Astyanax mexicanus: one gene and its partner. The protein of the gene in region 1 binds, or shares a complex with, the protein of each later gene. Links are inferred from orthologs where the notes say so. Each region holds a gene or a part of one and is shown on either strand. Other genes may lie near its edges.

Region 1 (10,520 bases):
GTATTTCTGTTCCTTTGGTCACAAAAACCAAACTAAAAGGCAGGAGCAGCAGCGCACGCTCTCCCCACACAGGAGGCTTCTCCCGGCAGGGGTGATGAAGGCTCGGCTACACCACCATGGGAAAATATGGACACTGTGTTATCTAACTGTAACACTACATAATCTGAATGTTATAAATGTAAATTATAAATAGATAAATGGCGATTAACCCTGTTACAGATAATAAGTGGAAAAAGCCCCTTTCGGTGCTCCGCTCTTAAACGGCAACCCACGCAGTTAGAACCACATTTCTCTTAAAATACTGCGAATTTATTTTCGAAATATTGTGACTTTATTCTCGTAATATTATGACGTTAATCTTGTAATAGTACGGCTTTAAACTCGTAATATTACGACTTTATTTCGCATAATATTACGACTTTAATTTCGTAATGTTACAACTTTATTCGCGTAATATTACAACTTTATTCTCAAAATTTACATGCAGCTTTTATATTAAAGATGGTACAAACATAACCTAATTGTTATATGCATCTTGAAAACAGACAGAATAATCACTAAAATTGAAAATGTTAATAAAATTACTATTACAAATGACAACACGTATTGTTCAAAATGATAAACTTGTCATTTTATATTTCAATCTATGTGCTAAGCAGAACTAATTATCCTATCGCTATGCTTTTATTAAAAATATAAACAACAGGCTAATGGATGTTTTGAAGCAAGCTATCCTAGACTAACACAAATTAATATTAGTTGCTTGTAATGTTTTTTAGGTTACGGATATAGTCACATCCTGTGTAGATTACATTGATGTCTAATTCAAAACATCTGAATATTTTAATACATTAAATTTAAGCTATAACTTGATTCACATTCCGACTGTAATCCACTGTGTCCACGACCACTTTTTATAGATGGCAGTGTCACAAAAACATAGGGTCCTGGAACTGCAGTCCTGAAACTGTGGTCTTAAAACTGCAGTCTCTGGGGTTGCAGCTTTACCCTTCTCGGTTGTGCTGTTGTGAGTGAGTGGAATGACCTTAATGGGCAGGGTTTATTCCCAGCAGCCAATGACAGGGTCACAACCGGATTTCTTATGAAACAGATTTCTTACGAACTTTGTAAAAAAAAAAAAAAAAAAAAGCTGCACAAGAATGACCAGTACATGTTTTGAATATATATGTGTTATTAGATTTAGAGATTTAAAAAAGATAAAAAAAAAAACAAGCAAATGGCACCCAATCAGTGGAATGGACCATATGGTGTTTTAGGGCCATACCAAAAAAACAAACAGTTCACTTCGAGAGTAAAGACAAAATAATTACAAGAACAAATTTGTTATATTATAAGAATAAAGATGTAATTTTACGAGAATAAAGACGTTACATTACGAAAATAATGTTATATTATGAGAATTTCTTACGTCTATTCCCATAATATTAAGTCTTTATTCTCGTGATATAACGTCTTTATTCTTGTAATATTATGTCTTTATTCTCATAATATTAGGACTTTATTTTCTTGTTATATTACGTCTCAAAATATAACAACTTTTTTCTCGTAATATTACGTCTTTATTCTCGTTACGTCTTTATTTTCGTAATAACTACGTGCTATAGTGTGAAGGTGTAAAATGACGCAACCACTAAAGCATACCTTCATTGGCACTATAGCAAAGCCGTTTAAGTTTTGACTCCTGAACCATAGGTTCTATTGACAAAATTCTTTTTTTAGGCTTATTAGGCTATGAGGTTCCGCCCAATTAATAATTTGCATAATATGCAAAACCTACTTTGGCAAACTAGTCCCAAATCCTGACATGTTTAATGTCAAACAACTCGGCAGAGTACAAACCTTAATAATTATCAAAAAAGTTAAAATTTGCAAACAATATGTTCGTCATATGCAAATTAGTATTACCATGGCACAGCCAAACTAACTCTTACAGTTACATTGAATGCTTAACCTGACAGTAAACCCACTTCAGACCTACTAGCATGATTTTGAGGTACCTGGTCAAATCATGTAGACATAGGGGAGACTGTCATTCCGATAGTCCAAGGAAATGTTCAAGCCACCGACATCATTTATCTTCAAACTACAAGGAAAAGTTAAATTCTGAGATAAAGTATTTTTATTTTTTATTTTTTGTCTTTTGCAATTGCTGTTAATGTTGTAAGTGTTATATCAGGTGAAAGTACAGTTTATGGAGTAATGAATGGTGTAACTGTCTCTTGCTAATGTTAAAGCACCATGCTTATTTAGCTAGCTAAACAAAGAATGACAGGGGTGGGGTAGGTTGTAACAAGACTTTTTGGAAATGTTACAACCATCCCCGGGCATTAACATTATAGTTTTTTTTGTGATTTTAATTCTCCAGAATGCCTAGAATGGGTGAGGAAAACAGAAAGAGGAGTGGATGCCAAAATTCTAGAAAGAGCAGCAGAGGAGGTTAAGAACGGACAATCAGTCACTTTGTACAGATACTACAGAAAAATTCAAGGTTTTAAAAGACCAGGGCTCAAAGGACCTTCCACGTGTTGGATATGTCAGTCCTTTTTTGAGCAAATTCAATTGAATTTTTGGTTAGCACTAAATAAATAAATGAGTAAATAAATAAAATAAATAAATAAGTAAACAAATTGGCAAATGAAATGAAGTTCCATTGTTTTCTTTGTATTTTTGTTTATCTGTTACAACTGACCCCGGCAGGTGTTACAACCTACCCCGGTAGTGGGATGATTGTAACAAAAGAACACTCTGTATTTGACATGATCTGACAAGTTATGGGATATAATGGAGGACATTTAAATGGTTATAATTTGTAGTAGACAAATGTGGGTGCTTTGTCAAAAAGTTTCATATCTGTACCTTTTTAAAAATAGGTAGTTTGGGGTGTTTTCCAAAAAGTGTTACTTTCATACCCGGTCTCCCCTATGCCCCCAAGGGGCGGAGCCAATGATGGAAAACCATACAAGAACCATACAAGCTACCAAGCTCATAGTTGGCAAATACCAGTGAGGGCTTATCTACTAATGGTACTCTCAGAGAGAATTTGATATTAAAATTTTTGTGATCGCTATTAGATTCCATCAAGCTTTTGACAGGCTAAACATTGACCAATGACGACGAAACTTATTGTCTTTATGTAAATAAGGGCCTCCTATCATCCATTAAAGTATTGAATTGATTGGCCTCTCGGGGGCGCTATAGCAGAAAATCAGTTAAATCAGAATATACTTGTAGCATAAGCATATTATTCTTTTTGATTTTTATGCATTGCTGAAGCCTTTGTAATTACATATTTCTACCAAAAATGCATTGTTTTTCATCTGTGGCCATTAGTGTAAAAATTACACTTTTCGAAACTTTGAATATTCAACCAAGTAAATCAGCATTGGCCTTGCTGCAATCTTGAGAGGTAAATAATTATCAAAAAAAATCTTGAGATTTTAACTTTTTGTGGCACCAACACCTTGATCAAACAGGTACGTGAAACTCTGTCAAAGTTTATGTCATGTCAAAAGTATTGAAGACTCCAATAAACAATGACATTTCAATCCCATGTGCCAAGTATGAGCTAAGTGAGTCTTCAGGAGGCTCTACATTGACAAATTAACTATTGTACATTTTTACCATTTATCGCTATTTTTTAACCTAAATGGACAGGAGACAGGAACCTTTGGGCCTATTAACATACAAATTTACATACATATATATACACTGATATTATGATCTTGATTCCCAATTTTAAGTCATATTGGATTTTTTTCCCTATAAAAGGCCACAAAATCTACTGTGATTGTGAAGGTTTGAGGCCTAATGTATTGCTATTTTCAAAACTAAAAGACCTCAGCTTTGACCCTATCAACACAAAAGCTTAAACATATATATACAGACTACCTGATCATGATTAATAATGTTGAGCCAAATCGGACTTTTCTCTACAATCATTAAAAATCTAATGATAAGCATATTTCTCTCTCACAGATGGATAGATTCTCAGCAGGTTTTATATGGTGTCTTGCTGCACTCTGGTGGTCATTTGGTGAAACAACTGCAATTTATTAATTTTAAATTAAAGCTCTGCTGAACTCTCTAGCTCATTTGAACTTGCTGGTCTTGCTGGTTGAACATCTTTATCCTTCTTGGTCATGCTGGTCAGCCACATTGGTCATTCTTGTTGTGCTCCACCCACTTAGGTTTTTTGCAAATTTGCATAGTATGCAAAACATACTTTTGAGAACTTCTCATTGGCTCATTGACCAATCATGACATGTTTGGTGTCAAACAGCTCAGCAAAGCAAAAGCCTTAATAATTATTTTAAAAATATTGAACTTTATAAACAATATGTCCGCCATATGCAAATTAGTCCTTCCATGGTGCAGCAAAATGTCTTCTAACACTTACAACTTTATTAACATTAATACCACTTCAGTCCTTTGATCATAACATGATTCTCAGATACCCTGTCAGTTTATCCAGACATACACCACAGGAGTGTTACTCTTTCTCTAGAACCATACAAGCTATCAAGTTCAGCCTTGGCAATTATCATCTATTGTCTATGTACTAATGGGACGACAAAGGAAAAATTGATGTCATTTTTTGTGGTCACTATTAGCCACATTCACATTCCAGCAAGCTTTTGACAGGCTGAATGTTAACCAATCAGGTCAAAACTTATACACTATATGTAGGCTATTTCCAATTTAAGAACTGGAGTTGTTTCTTCAAATGACCACTAGAGTGCAACAAGACACCACATAAAGCTGCTGAACAATATACCTCAATTGATCAGTGTTTTTCAACTAGTTTAAAAAATAAATGAGTGTGGAAAAATCCACAGCAATATTTGTCCTTCTTTAGGATTTTGACAGTCTTAGTGTGTATTAGGTATGATAGTTTTCTAGACGACTTAAGACTGACGAGATAATGGCCTGGGAATTAGGCCAAAAGTGAAAGCTATAACGTTTTAATTAATATCATCTAATTTTATTCATATTTTATTCCACTTCGCAATGTGTTCTGCCCTTTATTCAGAGCGTTTGCACAGCGCTTTGCTTGCATGCTGTTTTTTACTGTTAAAATGCGCCATCTACAGGCGGCCGCATGTATGTTCAGCCAGCATGAACGGAAATCTGAATAAGACACTGGCGAATAAGAAGCTAACTTCAGCCTCGTGCGTCCAGAAACCCCAAAAGTGTCTCCTTTTTCCTACCGGTCCTCCTCCTCTCCTCCGTGACCCGGAAACTGATTTCGTAACGCCATCTTGCCGCCTGTCCGAATACCGTAGGAGACGAAAGAAGCCGCTTAAAATCTGCCTCGAATAGGCTTCCAACAGAGGTTACATCAGTGCATCCTACTCCGGAAGACTTTTAGTGATTTTCCAATGACATCACTGCATCCACGCCCACAGAGCACGCGGGAATGGAGAAGACAACGCACAAATGTACTTCATAAGCATATTAATTAACTAGGTTCCTTGTCTAATTAAACAGCCAGTAAAGCAGTAATAAAATGTTTAGTTTAGGTAAGCTGTGTGTTCAGTAAAACTATATTAATGACCCTATATGTAACATATTGTTGTAAATATACACATCATTTCCACATGTATGAAAAATATATTTATTATTATATTTATTATTTATTAATTAGTTTTTTTGTTTTATTACATTCAATGTAATCACATTTTACTATTAAAATAATTTAATATTTACATATGCAACCTTCATCAGGCTGTACTTTTAAAGCTTAATATGCTTGTCAAAGTTATGATCTCTAGAATTTGGAATTGTGTTTATTGATTTCTCGTTTTTATTTTTGTATGCGGAAGCTGTGATTGGCTGGGCAGTATCCGGCATGTGCTGAAAGTGAGCGTTGTGATTGGCTCAGTTCAAAGGTGGTCAACATCCTATCTAAAAGGGATCAGCTGTCCCATTTCCCCAATTACAGCTCCTTCCCTCCATTCCTCCACCTTCTTCTGGGTAGGAGAGGAGTAGCAAAAGTTGCTGGACGCAGCCAGTGTGTGAAGTGAACTGTTTTTTTTTTGGTATGGCATTAAAACGACGTACGTAACGTAACTGTTCTAATTTTGGAGTTTCCATTAGCTGTAAGCTAATCAACATTAAAAGTTGAATAAATAAGCGCAATGAAAAGATAACTAAAATACGGAAATAATAAACAATTTAATTATATTCTATTTTTTAATGCACTTGTATGTAATATTGAACAATTTCCCTGAATAAAATAGATTTCTCATTTGTTTGATTTGCTTCATAGGATATGTGTGCACAATGTATGAAAGGGGTTTACAAACTTCCAAACGTCCACTGCAGCTCGGTTAGCTAACCGAGGTCATCTGCAGAACATGAGTGCTTTATTTCCCGAGGTCTAGCCTTGTGTTGTACTTGTTAGCCTCCTAGCCCGGCCATCCGCTGCGCTGCAGCTCACAGAACAAGCTAGTCGGTACTGAGCGCTTCGCAGAAGAATTTAAACTAATAGAAGTATAAACAGTGGTGGCTAGCTAACGCTACTTGTTTTAGGAATAATTAAATAATCTGGTTCGTTAACTGTAGATCAGCTTCAGGCTTCGCTAACGTGCATGAGCTAAGTGAACGGTTCGGATCTCGTTGAATGGCTTTCACTGCTAGCCAGCTTGTTAGCCGAGTGTGTCGGCTTGAGGTGCCACGGCATTGTCTGCCCGGGCCTCGCTAAAGTCTCTCAGATTTTTACAAGCTGCTGTAAAGTTCCAGGTAAGAAGTTCTCAGTTACATAAACAATATTCTAGTGAAGCGTGGCACACAGCTGCCTGGTAGCTAAAAACTGGTGTAGTTAACCACTATCGTTTGTGTTGGACTGAGCTAGCTAACTAGCCAGCCAACGCTATGCTTACTAGCTAGCTAGCTATCTTCACTTCAGACTTCAGCGAGGTTAAGAATAACGTTTGCGCATTTAAGCAAATGGTTTTAGTTCATTTTAGTTGCACAACCACGAGTACTTACTAAACATGACGCACTTAGTTAGGTAACTAGCAAAATTACTGCTCTCTATATTTACTATTGTTAGCTAGCAAGCTAGCCACTTAACCTAGCTCGGTTATGTAGCGTTAGCTTTGACTGATTCCTTTTTTGGTGGACTACTTTAGGCTGCAGGGTTTATTACATTAAGTCAACTTTCACATGTGGAACATAGGCTGGTTGGGTAGGTTTCAGGTGGGCATGGGCTCTGAGTGGGTTTGTGCTGGTTTTTATTGTTTACAGGCACCAGTGCAGTGTACAACAACGATGGGGCCCATGTTTAATCCCTCCTGGTTGTATCACTTCAACGATTTTCTTCTGGTTTTCAACTGGGCTGCCCAAGCCACATGGACACGTTATCTGTAGGCTTAAAATAGTTATAAAAACTCGCTGCATTGAATAACTATGCAAAATACCTAAACGTGTGAATGCAGCTAAAAATTTGCCAAATTAACTGGATATGTCTAATCTCTAGTGTTGGTGATGATCATGTAACTTCCCTGTGAACTTGTGTTTCCTTTTGCAGAGCAGAATGACAGAAACTTCAGGGCTTCAGTTTGTGAGCCCATATGCCTTTGAGGCCATGCAGAAGGTGGACGTGATGCGCCTTGCAGCTTTGAGTGATCCTGAGCTGAGGCTTCTGTTGCCATGCCTGGTGAGGATGGCACTGTGTGCCCCTGCTGACCAGAGCAATGCCTGGGCACAGGATAAGAAGCTCATCCTGCGCCTGCTGTCCGGTGTAGAGGCAGTGAACTCCATAGTGGCACTGCTTTCTGTGGACTTTCATGCCCTGGAGCAGGATGCCAGGAAAGAACAGCAACTCAGGTGAATCCCCAAGGACCCATCAACATTTTAATACGCTAGGGTATTTCTGGGGCTATATAGTTTCCTGTGTACATGAATGATGAATGATGAAAAAACATGCATTCCTGTTTAGATGAATAAAATTGTGCTTTAGGAATTGTAAAAGGCCTTTCTAAAATAGTTTTGCATTTAAACACTTTCTCCACTGTCCATGTTGGTTTGCAGTATTCCTATGAGGTTTGTTTATGGAAAATTGATTGGAAAACCTGAATGTGGTACGTTAGGACACAGTTGGAGACCTTGTGTTTTAATAGTATATATTTATAATAGTATCGATTGTCCAAAAAATAGAACTTCACATTTCCCTGGTTGTTCTATTGTTCTCATTGGAAGTGTTACCTAATTAGATGTTTTTGTTTGTTAACAAAAAAAACACACCAACCATTTAAATAAGTGTTGTCTTCTCATTACAGGCATAAGGCTGGAGGGTCAAATGGCGAGAGTATCCTTGTTTCCCAGCTGCAGCATGGGCTTACACTGGAGTTTGAACACAGTGACCCACTAAGGAGACTCAGACTGTCTCTAAGTGAGCTGCTGGCCATCATGAACAAGGTTCTTATGTCAATGTTTTGTGTGGACATGAACAACCCACTTGTGCATTTTTATTTCAAGCGTAGAGAGGCTCATTACATCTGAGTTCAAGTATACAGTGGAGTAAAATTCTGTTTCTCTAGAGCTATGGGGAAACATGGATCAAACAGCATAATATTAATAATTGAATACAACAGCTTTAACTGATTATATCATCCAAGATATCTAATCAAATCAGTTTTATTTGTTATACAGGTAGCTGACTCCAATGGGGAGTTTTTTCTAAAGACCTCTGAGCTATTTGAGAGTCCTGTGTACCTGGAAGAGGTAGCCGATGTCCTCTGCATCCTTCAAGCAGGTAGATATTGTAGCTGCAGTTTACTTTCTGAGTACTTTCTGGAATTTCCAAGTAAAATATGCTTACTTGTAAATCTGCTTTTACTGTAGCTGCTAATGCTTTTTAAAATTAATGGATACAAGATCTCATCCTCTCACAGCTGATCACTGAGTCAACCCAGCCAAACCTAAAAAAAACCTCCAAATCTACCCTGATTGATTTAATCTTTTCTAACAAAACAGATAAAATCACTGCCGCTGGAGTTTTTGAACTTGGCTTTAGTGATCATTGTTCGATCTGGTGCATTAGAACCAGTTCAAAGATACAAACGGGCTCTCGGATGGTGGTTAGAAGAAATAAAAAATAATAATAATGAACAAGCTTTACTTTCTGACTTAGCAGTGAGCAAAATTCACTTAACTTTTGAAAGTACAGATGTGGATGTTGCATTAAAACATTTCAGGAAATCATTCCTTTCAGTGGCGAATAAACATGCTCCATACAAAAAACTGCAAGAAGCATGTTTATTCGCCACTGCAAAAAAACTGCAAATAAGAGACAGATCTAGCCCCTGGTTTTCAGGAGAAATTTCCTCACTGCTACAGTCAAAAAATAAAGCCTGGTCAATAGCCAGATGCACAGGGGAAGGTGAAAAATGGCTCACATTTAGACAATTGAGAAACAGATGCACCTCTCCAATTAGAAAAGCCAAATCAGATTATTTCCTCAACCAAATTACCAGCTCCTCTAATCCACAAGATTTCTGGAAAGCAGTAAACTTCCTCAAAAACAACTCCCAACAAATCCCAACTAAAATTCTAGTCAATAGTATTTTGATCTCCAGCAAGAACTGTGCCAAGCTTTTAATGTACACTTTGCTGCAGCTGGTCAGATATTTAATAACACTGACTCAAACCTACCTGTAAATCTGCGTGTCATTACTACTACTGCTTCCCAGAAAATCAATATCTTCCCCTCCAGACCAGCTCTCCATACATAGTGGCTAACGCCCTTTCTTCTATTAATCCTCGGAAAACAATAGGTGAGGACGGTCTGGACCCCTACCTTCTTCGTCTCACAACCCCAGTTATTTTAGAACATATTCCATAATTTTTTAATCTTTCTATTTTATCTTGTAGAATTCCCAGTATCTGGAAATCAGCTCATGTTATTCCTCTGCATAAAGGGGGAGATGCGGCAGATCTAAATAATTACAGACCAATCTCAAAACTGTCTTGTTTATCTAAAATTTTAGAATCCCTAGTGAATAACCAGCTCATGTCTTTTCTCTATGAAAACTTTATCCTGTATAACTATCAATCTGGATTTAGAGAAAGACATAGTACCATCTCTGCAACTCTGGTTTTAAATGATCTATACATGGCCCTAGACAAGAAGTACTGTGCTGCCATTTTTATTCATCTCACAAAAGCTTTTGATACTGTTGATCATGATCTACTATTATGTTCTTTACATAAGATCGGTTTTAGCAATAATGCAACCCTGTGGGCACAGGATTACATTTCTGGCAGGAAGCAATGTGTGTCTATTGGTTACCATAAATCAGAGCTACAGCCCATAACAAATGCAGTGCCCCAGGGCTCAATCCTGGGTCCAGTTTTATTTAATATTTTTATCAATGATCTTGCCACCTCTACCTTAGACTGCAAATTACATCTTTATGCAGATGATTCAATCTTATACTGCTCAGCAGACTCTGCACATGCTGCAATAGTAAAACTTCAACATTCTTTTAACACTA
Region 2 (10,032 bases), on another chromosome or scaffold:
CCTGCTGGAAAATTAAATCCGCATCTCCATAGAGTTGTCAGCAGAGGGAAGCATGAAGTGCTGTAAGATTTTCTGGGAAAACACTGCACTGACTTTGGATAAAACACAGTGGATCAACACAGCAGATGTGATGTCTCTCCAAACCATCACTGATCAGAAAATTCTGCATTTCATTTGGAAACCAAAAGACCAGAGTCTGGGGGAAGAGTGGAGAGACACACAGTCCAAGCTGCTTGAGGTCTAGTGTGAAGTTTCTACTGTCAGTAATGGTTTGTTGATCCACTGTGTTATATCAAGTCCAAAGTCAGTGCACTTCATTGATTGTCTGAAATAAACACTTAAAATTTATCATTCTATATACACCTATATAATATATGTGTTTTACATTTCGAACTGTGTTACTGAAAAAGTACCTTTTCAATGATATTATTTTTTTAAGATGCACTAGTATATATGTTTGTATGAGTTTAATGATGTCAAACACACCCCCACGCTGCAGTCGGAAGGTTGTTTGGCATTTGGGGACATTGTGAGATTACTGTACCTAATTTGCGGGTGCTGGAGCCGGGGTATTTATACGTCTGCAGAGGAATGGGGTTCTGGTGATAAGCAGTGTAGTTTTTACGCAAATCCCACATTTTAATCATCCTGCAGAGAGAAAGAGGGGGGGGGGGGTTAGACAGTTACCAGTGGAAAACACACCAGCCCTTGTAAACAGTAAATCCTTTGGTCATCATTTTTCTTTTATTTTACATACCCGTCTACAGCTCCTGAAGAGATGAGCGTGTTTTCATCACGAAAAAGAACTACAGTCACACCCCTCTGAGAGTCCTACAATGGACAGAGAGGTAAAAAAAAAAAAACATTAATTTCTAAATTCACTTAAATGTGAATTCTTATTGCCTATTACAACATGATATATACAATATATATTTATTTTTCTGTCAAGCATTATGCACATTGTGAAAGTATGCAACATTAAGAAAGCTGAGTGAAGCTGCCAGTGTAGAGGATTCCGCACTTACCACAGAAGGAGCCATTCCTCTGCATGAAGAACGTTTCTTCTTGTTCTGGGGTGTGTTTCCTGCTGTCTTCATGTGAGCTCCACTGATCTGCTTCACCTGCCTGTAGAAACCATCTGTACACACCAAAATATAATAAAAGACAATTTAGATCTACTCTTTGTGCAGGGTAAGGACTTTCAGGAATCATCTATAAAGGTTATTTTCCTTAGAACTTACATTTACCTACACTAGGTGGACAAAAAAAAACATTTGGGTACATTTTTTTAATTGTAGCCCTGAGCCCACTCTTACCTTTTTTACTACACCTTGTATCCCACACCATGATGTTACCGTCCCTGCCTCCTGTGCAGAATACAGCTGTGGAAAATGACAACATTTCAGTCAGCTCCAAAAAGAAAGACCTTCATGTGGTATTTCTACCTTTTCTACTTAATGTAAGTGACAGTCTTAATGTAGTGATAAACCAAAGTGGGGTGTCTAAAATTAAACTCAGAACCTAGATAATGAAAATCTGTCTACTTATTTTATGCAATTAAAACTGTGTGGTAAACTAGGTTTAGAAAGATAACCTGATTTAATCAAGTTTACAATTTCAAAACATTCTCAGTGTTTAAACATTCCTTTCGAGGTTACCTTTCTCTTGTTTCGGGAAAGACACAGACTTCAGGCTGCACTGGTGACCCTTAAAGCTGCCTAGAAGCTCCTCTGCAAGCACGTCCCACAAACGTGCTGTCTGATCCCCGGATGCAGTCACCTTAAAATATTAATAATAATAAATAATAAAAAAAAAAAAAAAAAAAAAAAAACAGTATCAACTCATGTTTACAATGTTAAGTGAATAGTTAAGAAACTGAAATTATCCAAGAAGCCACTACAGTTTTAAATCTGCTGTGTTATTAAATGTTCATTAATAAAAGAGGCAATACATGCATAATAAAGTCTATTAAACAATCCCACACATTTGAGTACAGTGTGTGATGATTAAGACAAGCAGTTAAAACCACACTAATTGGAGGACTACAAGTTTATTACCTACTAGTTATATTACAGTGGCATAAATTAACCAATTTCTTATTTTTTACTTGAAGATCAAATGCAAATTTCAAACTCACCAAGCTGTTCGCTCCAGGGACCCAGGCAATATCAAACACAGCATTATCATGTGCAGGCCATTCTGTAACAGAAATGTAATCATGTTGGACTTTTTGAATGCTTAGACACATGAAACACACACAACTGTAATATGTAAAAAAATATATGTTTCTTAGCAGGTTTTTAAGACCATAAACAAGGGAACATACAAAATATAGAAACCCATTTTATTTTATAGTATATTGAAATTTAACACATATTTGGAAAATATTTATTTGCAAACATTTAAAGCTTACCCTTTAGGACTGAGCTTTGTTTCTCAGCAGTTTTATAGATGGCCACAACACCCTCCTCATTCGCAACTGCCAGAGTGTTGTGCTGTCCAGGAGCTACAGTACGCAAACAGACAGAGTCACAGAGAGTACTAAGATTTCAGTTTCATATAAATTTATTTTAAAAAGTATATCAATGGCTGGAGGTTCTGAGGAGAAACATTTGAGAAAGTAAATACAAATGGTTTTAGATTTCTTTAAAAGCCAAACCTGTGGAAAATGAACATCCAAATGGAGGAACAGCAACTGCAGTGTTTCCGTATGAGATGTGTTCATCATGACGAGTGCACTGATAACACTCCAGCAGAGACGATACTGGATATTCTTGTCTGTTAACTGTTTTAAAAAAGGAAAAAATAAAGAATTATTCAGAGAGATGCATAGAGCTATGCATTTCAGGGTCAGGTTATATGGTAAACATAACCATCACAATAACTAAAGACATTTTCATTATAAACTATATTAATAGCAATATACTGGCAGACAAAATAGCATCAGAATATTATATAAGATGAATCGGTACTTTTGGCAGTGTGTGCAGTTCCAGTCTGCTAGAAAATGAAATCTGCACCTCCATAAAATCTGTCAGCATTTGTGCAAAAATTAGTATTTTTGCTTATTTCATCTCATGATGCTCCGCGACCACCTGTGGTAAATCACGACCCCCTTAGCTGATCATATCATTTGATTTTTCCCATTTAGGATAATGGTCTATATCAAGAGTCAATTTGGTAATTTATTTTATTGTCGTAAAATGTGACCGAGGCATTTTTAATAGCGTTCCAAGATGGAGCTTTACTAAACTAATTTTCACCATTCAGATCTTTGCGTAGTTTGTTAAAATGTAAAAAATGTTAACTCTCCTGTTTTTATCAACATATCTTACTGTTTAATTCACAACTGTCATATGTTTATGTTTCCTGAAAACTGAAAGATTAACAGGAAGTTATAAGATTATTTTAGGAAGGCGTGAATATAGATGCCATATAATCACTGGGCATCCCACCACAGCAGTAAAGAAGTCCTGAATGAAAGTGGGGGCTAATAAACAAACAAAAAAAAAGTACATGATGACTTAGTAGCAGTACTGTGAGCTATGCTGCCTCCTTCTGAGAGTGAATGGGGAAACCACAGTTTCAGTCCCACCTTTCTCAACCCAGACCAAAAAATATATCACCCAACATGTTTCACAAAGAGTAAAAATCTTCAGTTTAAGTCACTTCCGCCTAATAATGACGCGACCTTGAAGTGGGAGGAACTATAGCCTGGGAGGAAATCTCGCGCTCTGGAAACAGAGCTGCAGAAAGGCTGCATACAAGGGTTAACATGCGTTTCTTTGCAAGCATATACTGAAAAAGTTTAGACTGAAAAACAACCACAGTTCACAAGCTGTTGTTGGACACAGCTGAATAAATGGATATAGGTGTTTACAGTACGGCATCACTACAAAATAAACACACACTAGTTCCAGTATTATTAATAGGGTACAAATACTGCATTTCGCTTTTCTTCAATATATATTATGATATAAAAAAAATACCAATAACTTGTTTCAATAGTCAATGATCCAGAATGTATTAATAATCTCCAAAACTGTACAGGAGAGATAAAACCTTAAATAGAAAACCTTGTAATGGAAGTCAATGTAAATAGAGATATTGGTCATCATGAAATTTAGACATAAGTGTCAGTTTCTGTGTTCAAATTGAGATTTTTAAGACAGATATAGGTAATATAATTAGCTGATGGTCTTTTACAACAATCTATATAACCAATTACTCTGTCACATCAGTTTAACTAAGTAGATACAGCTAGTAGTAGGTAAGTTAGTTATTGGAGTTGATTAAGAATTTTTAACGCTAGGTTAACTTACTAGTTACTAGCTACTGTGTTTTATCCTTAAAGAGATGTTCCACTAAAACAGCAATATTAGGGCTACAAAAATACCCTGAATGATCTAAAATCTGAGGGATCGGAGTAGTTAGTTAGTTATACCTGTAGATAGCTGGGTAGATGTTTAATTATGTGTATAAAACTAGCTAAGCTAGCGTTAGCTACAGGAGGGGCTAATCCAATTTACAACATCTCTAAAATGGACTGAAAAACATCACAATCTGTGCAGATCCTCACAATCCCACTCACCTTTTCTCCTCCTGGTCACTCCCCGGTCAACCACGCACTGAAACAGCATAGTGATATAAAGATCTTCACACTTTAAAGCTTATTTTTCCAATCTTAACCTAAAAACTACTGAGATCCCGCTGCCCACCGCTTCCCGCGAACTGAAGCACAAAGCCAGAGAAACACGAAAGTACCCGCCGAACTGACGTCGCGACTTCTCATTGGTCAGCGGAGACCATGGTCCACGCCCACTTCAGAAACGCTGCGAGATGGCGGGCAGCAGAAAGAGGTTGTATCTCAAATGGCCTCCTGATGCCTACGTAGTGCACTATGTAGGGCTTGAAATAAACATAATTTACTCAAAGATCGTGAAATATGTATTAATAGAAGTAAATATGAATGTATCTACAGTCTCTACGGTACGTTGTACAGCATTTGCTCAAATAAGTGGGTCTAGTTTCCACAGTTCATGACTTAGGGCACTTTATAGGGAGTACAGCGTCATTTGGTATGTTTCCATATGTATATACGCCAAAAAAACTATAGTGTAAAATGCGTGGACAGCGATCATGCGCGGTAAATAATAAAAGCTATCTAAGTGCCTGATAATGACATGGACGGCTTTTCAGTAAATATAAAAAAACACAGTCTATGATAACTTCATGTTTTAAAGATACATGTTTAAAGTAGTAGAGACCCAGAATTGATTAAACGTACAAGTGCAATATATAAAAAGTGACTTGAGTGCAAGTTGAAGTATTCTTTACTAATGGTGTTGTCACTGAGTGGAATCAAATCCTCACAGCAATGTTCCAGACGTATTCTTAGGAATTGATGTTTTAGTCTGAATTTAAACTCCAGACTTAAGTGGAAGTACTAAAGTATTTAACTTTTTTTTTTTTTTTTTTACTTTTAACTTGATTAGTCAAAAACTGAATATAAACGTACAGTATTGTGTTATGCAGTTACTTTAGAAAGCAATGGAAAGTTTAAATATTGTATTGCAGGCAGGCAGCAGTGTGGTATTTTTATAAAACTGCTTGATTGATGGATTCACTCAGTGATAAGGAGCTTCTTAAAGCTACCACTCCGGCATTGGTAATGAGTAACAATGCAGCATATACAAATAAATTATCAGATGAAATATATAAAATATGTGGTAAATTAAAAATAAAACTCTGGAAGAGCACAGATACAGCAATTTATCAATAATATTGCAAATAAACGTTTTTATCAAGAGAACAATAAATGGATATCTGCTTGCTTTTCTACAGGCGTCTGGACAACTGGACACTGATATATGGGGTTGCATTTACATTTATAATACACTTGTTGGGTCAGTTTTAGTATATTCAGATGTTTATTTTTTTGTGTAAGTTACCTGAATCTCCGGCCTGCAGGAGGCAGCAGTGAGTCATAACACTTAAGATAACGAGAACAAGGATGGATGTGTAGAGGAGCTTTTATCAGTTTAAAATAAGGGTTTAATTTAAATGAATGTGATTAAAAATGTCTCTTTCTACAGCGCGGTCTTTCTTATCGGAGGCTGGATATGGAGAGCAGGAGCTGGATGCTAATTCAGCCCTAATGGAGCTGGACAAAGGTCTGTAGGCTAATGCTAACAGCGGCTAGCGTTAGCTTAGCTTTAGCAACGGTGTCTGATTAGCAACCGAGCGATTAGCCTCTCCCCCATTCTGTTCAGTGTAGCCTAGCCTAGCCTAGCATAGCTGTTTTATTTCACATAAATAAAAATAGTGCACAACTGTTAAATATAGGGCAGTATAGGCAGAATATCAGTCACACCCTGGCTGGAGAAGTACTTTATTTATGAAGAACAGTACACTGCAGGGTCTTGATTTAGTAATAAAGTGTGTTAAAGTTATCCATACAGATCTCTGTTCATAAATATTAAATTAAATTCAAAATAGTAATACATGATTCAGTTCATTAGTTTGCATAGCGATTGTTAAGGGGGTGTTATATCCTTTAGAACTAAACAGACAGGTTTTGATGTTGCACCTTTAATAAGACTTATGTAAATTAGCTCTGTTCTAATTGTTTAACACATATTATGCCTCTTTACTGAAGTAGTCTGAGCTGAAACTCTGGGTGGAACGAAACTACTGTAGGCAAATATGTGTTAATCAGCTGGATTTTACGAACTTATCATGCCCAAAACTAAATGATAAAAAATTATAAACAATTATAAACAATGTTATTAAGCTACACGAATTTGTTTTATTGCAGTATAGATGTGTACATTCATATTATCATGTTCAATGGCTCTATTCATTTTTATGTTGCTAATTTCCTCTTTTTTCTGTACTCATTTATATGGTGACAACCCAAGGACTGAGATCCTGTAAACTGGGGGAACAGTGTGAAGCTGTGGTCCTTTTCCCTAAACTTTTCCAGAAATATCCGTTCCCTATCCTCATCAATTCTGCCTTTCTCAAACTGGCTGACATTTTCAGACTGGGGTATGTACAATGGAAAATATGTGTTAAAACTGAAATCTACATAAGGAAAGATTACCTTACTTTGTTCTTGGCCAAGAGTTACCTTTACATCATTATAATAACACAAGTATGGAAATATGTTGATATTAGGAAGTTACTCAGAGAATTTCCATGTGGATAACACTGCACTTTATGTTAAAAACTTTTTTTCTATTCTTTAGTTGCAGAAGAAGGGAGTCATTTTTACACTCCTTTCTTTTTAAGCTAATGTAATCTGTAATGTAAAAAAAATACTTTTGTCTTTTTGTTTCCTCAGGAATAACTTCTTGCGGCTCTGTGTACTTAAAGTGACCCAGCAAAGTGAAAAGCACTTGGAGAAGATTCTAAATGTGGACGAGTTCGTTAAACGTGTCTTTTCGGTCATCCATAGCAATGACCCTGTGGCCAGAGCTATTACTCTTAGGTAAGGAAATATTATTTTGCAGGCATTTGAGCTGCAACTGGCTAACCAAGCTGCACAGACAATGTATTGTGCTTTTTATCACACACAAATAACAGTCTACTATTCTACTTAAAAACACAAATGTCATGTGGTTTAAAATTGTATCTGCATTTCCACAAATGGCACTTCTTTCTGAGCTATGACTGTAATATTTATCATCTGTGACTAAAGGTTAAATAAAGTTGAGGACCATTGTAGCTTTAAAGTGTTTTTTAATGTTTAATGACAGAATGCTGGGCAGTCTCGCATCCATCATCCCTGAGAGGAAAAATGCCCATCACAGTATCCGCCAGAGTCTGGATTCTCATGATAACGTTGAAGTGGAAGCGGCTATTTTTGCAGCTGCCAGCTTCTCATCCCAGTCAAAGTAAGATCATGCAGACACAGTGTTGTAAAGAAATATTTGACCAATACATGAAAATGACACTATTTCCATTAGTTTAAATTTGACAAGACACTTTGTATAAAATTGATCAATAATACCAACATATTTGGCTGTTAGTATTTTTTTTAGCTAAATCAGTATGTCAAATAGTCCCAAACACAACTCAAACAATCAGTATGAGATTACTTAATAGCCAAAAATGTCTTGGTTGAACAAATGCACTTGGGATAGGGTAAGATTTATAGAGTTGAGTTATATTTTTGACTGAAAGCAGATTTGATTTACCTTTTTTCTTCATTTTCTCACTTTCAGAGACTTTGCAGCAGGTATCTGCAACAAGATCAGTGAGATGATTCAAGGTAATTCCCTTGTTTGATTCTGTGGATGTAGTTGTGCAGTTTTATTTTCTTTTTTTATTTAACACCAGTGTGTTTAACATTTACAAATTGGCACTTTTCTCTCTTAGGTTTGGACACTCCAGTGGATCTGAAGCTAAAGCTGATCCCCATGCTGCAGTACATGCACCATGATGCTGCTCTGGCCTCCAGTAGCCGGGAATTGCTGCAGGAGCTGGTGTCCTCATATCCATCCACCCCCATGGTCATTGTTAGCCTGCACACGTTCACCCAGCTGGCCATTTCCTCACTCATCGAAATCCCCAAACAGGTCTGATTACAAATACTGTACTCAGCATGCACATGATCATTCTGCGGTTAGCCTTATAAAAAGTTATATTGTAACGTTATGATAATTGTATTATTTGATTTAATTTATAAATACCATTACACCATTCTCTTTCATAAGACAATAGAGAATGTTGGAAATGTTTTGTTGATTGAACCATAAAGCCTCTCATCTTGGCTGATGCTGATGTGGAATATCCAGGCTACATTTATTTATTTATTTATCTTTTTGCAGATTCAGTTGCTTCTGCAGTATCTGAAGGATGACCCCAGAAAAGCAGTGAAAAGGCTTGCTCTGCAGGACCTAAAACTGCTGGCCAAGAAAGCTCCTCACACATGGACAAAAAAGAACATACAGGTAAAATCCTGCATACTTCTACTGAAGCAGGGATTACATTTTAATAGAACTGTGTATATGTATGTTAGAACTGCCACAGAAGTACTCTAGTGCTGTTGACCAGTTTTGTTTTATGAGATATGGGAGATATTCTTGCTCAGTTTTGTGCTTTTCTGGTTCAAATCACTGTCTGTATCTGTGTGTCTGTATATTTGTATATGTTGTAGACAATGTGCGAGTGTGCCCTGAGCACCCCCTATGACACTCTAAAGCTGGGCATGGCCTCAGTCCTTTCCACTCTTTCTGGAACCATCGCCATAAAACAGTACTTTAGCTCAGCTACAGGTAAGAAGATGATAACCTTTATTTCTACACTGTATAAACAAATGTGTGCATATATGTGTGTGATATACAAAGATATACTACTGAAAATGGTCCTTAGAATCAACAGTGGAACCCTTTTTGAGGTTGTACCAGTGTCCTGGTTCTGGCACCATCCTGACCTGACCTGAGGGCTGTTTTAAAATAATGGCTCCTTTGTATACAGCCGAGAAATGCAGCCAACATTCGGAGCGATTTCAATGGCCGTTAATGATGTAGCATGATGTATCCTTAATGGTCCTTGGTTACCCACAATTCATTGTGCACATACAATGTGAAAGAAATAGTTCTGCACCACATTATCACCATGTGACTATCATGTGTGACATTACCATGAAACCTTCTTAGACTGTTCCATGTGTGACCAATAGGCTACTTAGAAGGATCTAAGGTCTTCATAGGACCTGGCCTACTTTGACTGCATCCTAGGCTTTGGAACACAACTTATTAAAATGCAACAACTTGTTAATAAGCTGATTAGTTGAATCAGGTGTGTTGGGAGAAGGGAAGGCAGTAATGAATGTTTATGGCATGGTGTGGTCAATAGTATTGCATAGAAGTACTGCTTTTACCAACAGACCTTTTGTAAATTGTTTAATTGCTATGGTAATGTTTTCTTGTGTAGTATTAGGTAATAAACTCTAGTAATGTTCTGATATTGTCTGTAGTATTATGTGCTTCATCACAGCATATTTCTGTTAATGTTTCCATATTC

The links.
Region 2: the proteins of ints2 (region 1) and ints7 are in contact, whole or in part, in a cryo-EM structure (PDB 8RC4), measured with the Homo sapiens proteins. The link is inferred for Astyanax mexicanus from reciprocal best matches to the Homo sapiens genes INTS2 and INTS7. Residues at the interface, in NP_065799.2 of Homo sapiens: Gln27, Lys28, Val29, Cys48, Arg51, Met52, Cys55, Ala56, Ala58, Asp59, Gln60, Ser61, Trp64, Phe92, His93, Ala186, Glu187, Pro189, Ile194, Val218, Asp220, Ser221, Asn223, Glu224, Ser259, Leu262, Lys263, Arg265, His285, Gly294; in NP_056249.1 of Homo sapiens: Leu38, Gly39, Glu40, Cys42, Glu43, Val46, Arg47, Asn77, Phe78, Leu81, Cys82, Leu84, Lys85, Gln88, Gln89, Asn114, Asp115, Pro116, Val117, Ala120, Ile121, Arg124, Val153, Glu156, Val159, Phe160, Ala163, Leu195, Lys196, Pro199.

What each region holds. Positions count from the first base shown.
Region 1 is NC_064427.1:13,882,213-13,892,732, reverse strand, and holds the start of ints2 (integrator complex subunit 2), read left to right. Parts: upstream 1-5,984; 5' UTR 5,985-6,077; intron 6,078-6,355; exon of another isoform or gene 6,356-6,762; intron 6,763-7,552; exon of another isoform or gene 7,553-7,557; 5' UTR 7,558-7,558; coding exon 7,559-7,851; intron 7,852-8,303; coding exon 8,304-8,442; intron 8,443-8,676; coding exon 8,677-8,779; intron 8,780-10,520. UniProt on the Homo sapiens protein: Component of the integrator complex, a multiprotein complex that terminates RNA polymerase II (Pol II) transcription in the promoter-proximal region of genes.
Region 2 is NC_064408.1:86,005,513-86,015,544, forward strand, and holds the start of ints7 (integrator complex subunit 7), read left to right. Parts: upstream 1-5,968; 5' UTR 5,969-6,079; coding exon 6,080-6,173; intron 6,174-6,920; coding exon 6,921-7,050; intron 7,051-7,345; coding exon 7,346-7,492; intron 7,493-7,760; coding exon 7,761-7,898; intron 7,899-8,228; coding exon 8,229-8,275; intron 8,276-8,382; coding exon 8,383-8,582; intron 8,583-8,834; coding exon 8,835-8,957; intron 8,958-9,163; coding exon 9,164-9,281; intron 9,282-10,032. Other genes in the region: dtl (denticleless protein homolog), read right to left, coding at 545-648, 758-831, 1,026-1,138, 1,317-1,382, 1,659-1,779, 2,138-2,199, 2,414-2,506, 2,660-2,785 and 1 more. UniProt on the Homo sapiens protein: Component of the integrator complex, a multiprotein complex that terminates RNA polymerase II (Pol II) transcription in the promoter-proximal region of genes.